Linked DNA regions of Drosophila melanogaster. The protein of the gene in region 1 interacts with the protein of each later gene in a pairwise test. Each region holds a gene or a part of one and is shown in the gene's direction. Other genes may lie near its edges.

Region 1 (3,756 bases):
TAAAACACTATCATTTAGTTATACCTTATTTTTGTTTATATTTTTCAGCTCTAATTCCGGTCACCGAGCAGGTGTGCCAGAAGTTCATCAAGCGCAAGTGCTTCCTTGGATGGCCTGTGCTGGCCAAGTTCCCGATTCCATCGCCATGCGGATGCAATGGCAAACAGGGCAGTCTGGAAATCAAGAAGTTTTTGAGTCTGTGCGAACTGCAGAAGTACGCAGCTGAATGCAACAAACGTAAGTTGATGTTTGTATAGAAATATAGTTAATAACATAAATAATTATATCTTTCAGCCTATATCAGCTACTCGAAGTGTTAAAAGATGACTTGTAATTGATGATGATAATTTGACTACCTCGAACGCGTCCTTGTTAAAAATAATGAATAAACATTTTAAAGCAGCAAACGTTTTTGTTACATTTGTCTTAAGAGTTGATTGACTAAGCGCCTAAAACGGTGCATTATTACCTGATTTTATAAGTCTTCGTTGCTTATGTTTTTTAGAGTCTGTTTTTAGGAACCTGTGTGATAAAGCTTTTTTTTGGAGTGGAAAATTTATGGCTGTGTTTTTTTGGCCAGTCAAGGTTGTTTGCGTACGTTCTGCAAACATTTTACTTTCAGATGCACTAAGTCAATAAAGCGCTTTGCCACAACTGCTAAAACAGTGGAGTGTATTCAATATAAATAGCCAAATGAGATATTATGGGGACAGTTATATTCTTAGCCACTTTTACGACATGTTCAATATTAAATTGCTGCTTTTGTTATTGGCCGTTTCGTGGTTCCACCATGGACAAGCCGTCCAGGAGACGAAAATCGAAGAAAAACCAGTATCAGAGCCTGAAATTGAATCCGAAATAAAGAACTCTACGAGCGTCCCAAGTAAATGCAATATTTACTATAGGAACTACCAATGGGCTCTTCAGGATTGTGTCTGCCGTTGTTTCCAAAACGAATGCCTTATGCAAATCGAGAGCGACCAGCGCAAAAAGGAGGGTAGATCCCGTAAGTAAATTAACCAGTTAAGTAAAAAGTATTTTATTTATATCTTGTAAATACAGCATTTGTGCCCGTTACGGAGGAACTCTGCCGTTCCTTCATCTGCAAAAAGTGCAGCGTGGGTTTCCCCGTGGTTGCTGAATTCCCCATTCCGGCTCCCTGTGGATGCAATCGAAAGCCAGGATCGATTGCCACAGAGAGATTCTACAGTTTGTGCCACCTGCTGAAATTCTCAGCGGAGAACAGCAAACGTAAGTCAAAAGAATTGGTTCCAAATTTTCGGTAATATATACATTTTGTATCTTTACAGCATTCCTGACTTATTCCTATTGTTGGCCCTTCTAAGTGAGGTGGATTCAGTTGGATCACGTTACTAATATCTTTGTTTGTTTGTTTTATTATTTTGTTGATTTGTTCATTTAAAGGGAGATGGATTACAAATAATAAAGAAATATATTCAATGACGAGTGCAATAAATTTTTTTGAATATGAAAATCTTTTTTAGACTAAACAGCTATGCATATGTTTAAACATTGAAAAGCTTTTTATTTTTCAACACCATAATTTATTTATTTTTTTGGTCTTTAACTTTTGGTTAAATGTCATTTTTTTTCCTTAAAAACCAGTAAATAGTATTTACATATATTGAAAATATTTACAAATCAATTATAAACGCAGAACGAAGTGTTATCAACCTTGAATCGACTATAAATTTAAAGAAAACATATATTATTGATAAATAAAAAGGCGCAGAGCCACTCGTTTACTTAATCAGCAGTGATAGCCTAAAATAGAATAAAAGATCAACTGATCAAATAATGCCCTACCCCCAAGTTGAACCTATAAAGAGTCGATCCTCATTCCGCCTTGGCACAGTTTCAAGTGGACTTCGATTTCTACAGCCAGACAATGTTCAATATAAAGTTAATCATCCTGGTTGCCCTGACCATCTCCATGGTCCAGAGCTGTTCCGTTGAGGAGCCGGAACAGGTCGAGTGCGGGTGTGGGTGTGGCAAGCCGCAGTGCCTCTCTTGCGGATCCAGATCCTGCGGATGTGGCTGCAACCCCTGTCGATGTCCTTCCTCTTCCGGGTGTGGCTGCAAGGATTAATCCAGGACTCCAGGTAGGTGTAGCACAAAAATGGTGTAAAATATTTCATTAATATACCCAAATTGCAGGACCCCTTCAGAACTTTGCCTTCACAAAACCTTCGTTTTTCAAATTATTTGTTTTTCCTTTTCATTAAAGTACTGATACATTTTGCAAACTTTCATCTTTTCGCACTTTGTGCGCTCAATTGTAAAGGGAGCGGTACAATGAGCAGACAATCATTTTCATTGCATTGATCACTTTTTTATTCATATTCGTTCACTCGTTGGCAAAGTAATTCCTTTGTTCTTTCCACCACGCTTTCTTGATTTCCCCAGTTCCGAGTTCCGAAATGGGAAAACAAAAGGAAAAGTAATCATATCGGGACCCCATTCGCCTGCCTTTTCCCTCGGCTACATCTCGTTTGCACTTTTCTACGTGAATTGCTTCCTTTGTCCTTTTAGCTGGAGTCCTGCAGTATTTAATTTCATTTGAAGGATTCCAAAGCCAGGCTTGTCTTCGAATTGGAAAAGTAAAGAGTTTATTTATCCGTGCTAAACACACTTCGGTTCAAATTGGCGTATCTGACCAAGTTCCTCCTAGTATCCTTTAAATATGGATACAGATGACCCAACTGTCGAGCCGCAGGATGCCTGCGCCTAATAGCCGTAAAAGCCTTATCGAGTCATTTAGTATGAAAACAAGCAATTAAAATGATGAATATGCAATAAACGTGGATTGTGTATACAGACCCATTCGCTGGCGAGCACAACCACTGCCTCTCAAATAAAGGACAACTCATACATTTTATATGCTAATGAGCGGCACAAAAAAATAAAGGAGTCGACATTTTTTGGGAGTGAATTGAAAGGAATAAGGCGAGCATACATTTGCCTAATGAAAATAGCGCCATTAAAATGGGAAAAACAACTTTAGATACCGAAATTCGAAACACGGCGACGTCTGGCAATTAAAAGGATACGAATGGAACAAGCTCCTATCAACTACCCGCTGTGATGTTGAATATGTATGCATTCTATCTATATATATATATGTATATATATATATATCCACATGATCACCTAGCAAATTAGAGATTAACACGCATGTGTCGTCCTTTTTGGGCAGTCCTTTTGACTTCTGGTTCATTGACCGCCGCCGTGGCAATAAAAGTAAATGGATCTGAAAACTTGGCGGCCGGTTTTATAACTTAACGAATTAGAGCAATTTGAGAAGAACTATAAAAACGTCCGGAAAACCGCAGAGGTATGTTGAAAATGTTTGGTGAAAAATTTCCAGCGGCGCGTGCCGTTTCATTTAGGTAAGGTGGGCCAAATACCAAGGGGTGTGTTCAATAGGCCACAACGGACATTAGAACGCGAAAGGGAGGATCCATATCAGTGGAAAATTAAGTGCATTTCGAGGACTTAAAAATTGGTAATTAGTGGGGGGAATAGGGAGAATGACGGGACACACCCGTGCCAGTTCATAATTGCTGTATTGCTGCATCTTGTGCTATGCAAACATATTAATTAATTCGAGGCCTATGCGCCTGTCAGTTGTCAGTTGTTGGTTGTTGGTTGTTGTTGTGCATCGCATCTTGGCCCAAACCGATTCAGTGAGGGTCAAGTCGGGTCGGGTCAACAACTTAATTATAGTGCTTAGTG
Region 2 (3,756 bases), on another chromosome or scaffold:
CGAAAAGATATAGCTAGAGGAATGTGCGAGTACGAAATGTATCGAAATGTATCTCTGAGATGGAGCTGCGATTAACTACTTGTGGTCTAAACCAACGACAACTTACAGAGTTCTCTTCTTCCTAGCAACAACAAAAAACACTGAAAATCACTCGCGAAACGGAGGAGCAACAATTCGCTGATTGAACGGACTGGGAATTACTATTGGATTTGAAATGTATATATATTTTCACAGGTTCACAGGTTTCGGGCAACTTTCACTTTCGGTTTGGGAAACTTAGGGAACTGAGCAGCCTACACTCGCTGACGATCTGCGGAGCTATGAGCAGCAGCATCCGCCTGAGTTGCCTACGAAGCTTTTCGCATCCAAAAAATGGCTGCCCATATACCACTACAAGCGTACCTATGTATATACATACTACTCCTCAATCTCTTGCATAACCTTCAGCGACAACGACAACAACAGTGGGGCTGAGGAAAATGCGGGAAATTCTCCGGGTGACGTCATTGATTTTTCGGAAACCATCTTTGTTAAGGCCATTTTGCGTGGGCGGAGCTTCGGCCATGCGCGCCCCAAAGTATCCAACAGATACACATGAAATATGTGCGCACGCCTGGTGAATGCTAAAGAAATAATAAAACGGGATAAAGGGAAAGGAAAATATAGATTGTGATGGGGCGACCAAATGAAAAGCTAATTAACAAACTAATTTTGCCACTGTTTCTGACATTTACAATGACCCACAACTTTTTATGAGAGTTTCCTGTCGAATGAAACAAAAAAAAATAACCCTATAATTACTTTCATTTCCCGCATATATGTACATATGTGCGCTTAGATATAGAAGCCAAAGCATATAGATTCCTGGTATATAGAACAAAAACGAAATTTGGGTCAAAGCTAGGCCGCCCGCCCACTTGGGCTATGCAAAATAGATATGTATCTCAGAGTGAAATTGCATCATTTCCAATAGAACGCGTTTCGTAGCATACTTTTGAGGGCCAGAGAACATCTATGGCCATGTTATGCAACTTGGGTAAAGAGCCCAGGAGCAGCAGGACCAAAAAGGACGTCCATCAAACTGGAGAAGCTTAAACAACGAGAACCCTAGGAATACTTGCCGCAAAAGAGTTCCACCCACTCCACTTCCATTCTTATCTGACACACGGAGCAGCTGGCGTAGGATGTTACCACACACTTGGCACTTGGCACTTGGTCCTGCTGCTGCTCCAGCTCCTGCTCCCTGGGCAGGATCCAATGCGTCAGCGTATTTTCGTTGCGAGGGCTCTGGCACTTGAAAAGTGTCTTTCGATGTAACTGATTGCAACTTAAGAAGGCCATTACAGTGGCAATAACTCCCTTGCTAGTCCCTGTGATCCATCTTTTTTATTGAATGCCTGCAATATTGGCAAAATGAAGTCGACACTTGTTCAACATGACTTTCAAAACATTCTCATAGGGCGTAGTGCATTACTTTGTAGCACTAGCTAGAAGAAATCCAACGGCAGTTGCAGAAAGTCCATAAAGCCGTAATTGCACAACGAAATCGTTACTTTTGATGTGGCAACAACTGTGTGAAAGGACTTTCTTCGCAGTTTTTTAATTGTTAATTGCTCAATTGCTTTCTTGAAACAATAAAAACATTTTAGAAGACCTTAAGTGACAAATATGGCGCCTAATAGATATGAATTTGCACCCTACGCCTTAACATCTGCGTAACCCTTTAACAAAACCCATCCATCACAAGTGTCAGACAAATATTTCTGATACAAAAACAGCTCATGGTATTTAGAACCACTAAACATGGCGAAATAAAGTCGCCTGCTATCTGAAAAGCACTTCAACGGCATGTGCTACCAATAATAATTAGGCACTCGGTCTGCACTTATCGCAGATATATGGCAAACAGACCAGTCTGAAAAGGAGGGGGGGATCGGGTGTATCTGCGATAGTCTATCCTCTGATTCGCACTTGAATCTATGACACCGGCAGATAAAGCCATCAAAAACATTTATTATTAGTAAGTGGGATTTTCGTTTGGGCCGGTTTGGGCTCAGTTGAACAACTGCTACCATTTGTAGCGGACAGCTTTATATAAATCCCGTCGAGTTAAGGATTTAAGCATTTCGAGCGGAGCAGGTGCCACGAACAATCGGATTTAATTGAGTCAAACTTTTGGAAAAGCACAGTGAGTTGTAACAGGAAACGGAAACAGAAACAGAAACAGTAACAGAAACAGCAGCAGACATGGACAAACAAAAGGATTATGGGTTTAAGCCATTTTAAGAGCGATGTTTAAAATACTCTCAAAAATAATGGTTGCAATACAAGCATGTCGCCTTGCAGTCCCTTTTAAAAGTTATATGTACATTTTTAAGGAATATTTTAGTTAAAAGAATAGTCATATTACTAAAAATAACAAAGCTTTGAAGAACTATTTATTTGATTTTAATCAAACTAGAAAGCTGAAAGGGATTTGTAAAATTATCAAAAAATAAAACTATGCAGTCATTAAATATTTAATACTTCATTATAAACATTCCTTATTATTAATGATAGCAGATAAATAAATTGAGATAGATACTTTGCATCAGTAGAAATAGTTAGACAGGATCGATACCCTTTCATAAGAGCACAACTAGCGAATGGAATTGAACAATGAGATGAGCTCTCGACCAGAAAATAGGATGCTCACCTGGCTGTGATTGCACGTAGCGCAAGTAGGCCCTGTAACCCAGATAGGCGAAAATGTTTGGAGTCAAGTGCCACCCACGGATGCGGATGGAGCTGGGAGCTTGGGTCTGCTATTCTCGGGCGGCTAATTCAGACCGGGCGTTTCTGGCCAGGGCGAAGCGTCCTCTTTGGCACTCGACTCTCAACTGCCAGCCAGAGGCATCAGAAGCACAGTGGGCCAGGGAATGCTCCGCACCCCGGGGGCCATGAACATTTTTCGTTGCCCGTGGAAAACAAATGGGAGTTTGGGAATTTCGACTGTTTAGCCTGTCATTACGCTGACAAAATAAGATTCCAGCAGGTTGGTTAGCTGAGGCATTTATGTGAGGTATTTTCGACGAGAATCCCGTTGCAAAAGCGTTGTCAGGATGCCAGAATGCCAGGATGCCAGGTGGGAGTCTCAGTTGCGTTCGAAAGACAGGCGATTGCATAACCCCTTTCGGTTTGGCAAATCAAGCGAATGATATTCGGATAGCAAATGCTCGGGATAACAATGGTGTAAGGATTAGGCCCCGCAGGCAAGTACCCCAAACGCTGCTTTTTGCTGCCTATTTTTGAGAGCGCGATAATTGCATTTCGAGCACAATTGCTCCTATTGTACGGGGCCAAACAGTCTCCATTTTGGCCCAGTCCTCCCTGGAGGATAATACGCCCCAAACCAGCGTGAAAAACCCATCCCCCAGTTCCGTAATCTACCCATCTCTTTTCAGCCCAGCGATGGGAGAGCGTGTTGAAAAGCGACAGAGAAAAATGGGGGGATGTGGATTACAGCTCGTCATACCATTGGTCACAATCCTCATCCTGGCTGCGCAGGCGCAGGCTGTGACGTCATCGCCCGTCCTGAAGGACGACACTTTGGGGGATGCTGCTCCGACGGCAGCGCATTCAGCAGCCAAAATCCTTGAAGACGTCCAAACCATCAGCGCAGTTCAGGATTGGAGTTTGCTGTGTAAAGAGCTCTGCGGGTAAGTTTCGGATAAACAGCAATCGAAAACTCTAGGAATTACTGAAAGTAAGGTGCCT

What was found.
Region 2: the proteins of CG7606 (region 1) and CG14989 interact in a two-hybrid assay, tested with the Drosophila melanogaster proteins (one large-scale study listed by BioGRID).

The regions. Positions count from the first base shown.
Region 1 is NT_033777.3:17,594,654-17,598,409, forward strand, and holds the start of CG7606 (uncharacterized protein), read left to right. Parts: upstream 1-1,882; 5' UTR 1,883-1,909; coding exon 1,910-2,110; 3' UTR 2,111-2,123; intron 2,124-2,178; 3' UTR 2,179-3,756. Other genes in the region: Sgs5bis, read left to right, coding at 49-237, 295-320; Sgs5 (salivary gland secretion 5), read left to right, coding at 739-1,006, 1,063-1,251, 1,311-1,345.
Region 2 is NT_037436.4:4,085,517-4,089,272, forward strand, and holds the start of CG14989 (uncharacterized protein), read left to right. Parts: upstream 1-2,064; 5' UTR 2,065-2,188; intron 2,189-2,695; exon of another isoform or gene 2,696-3,228; intron 3,229-3,443; 5' UTR 3,444-3,450; coding exon 3,451-3,698; intron 3,699-3,756.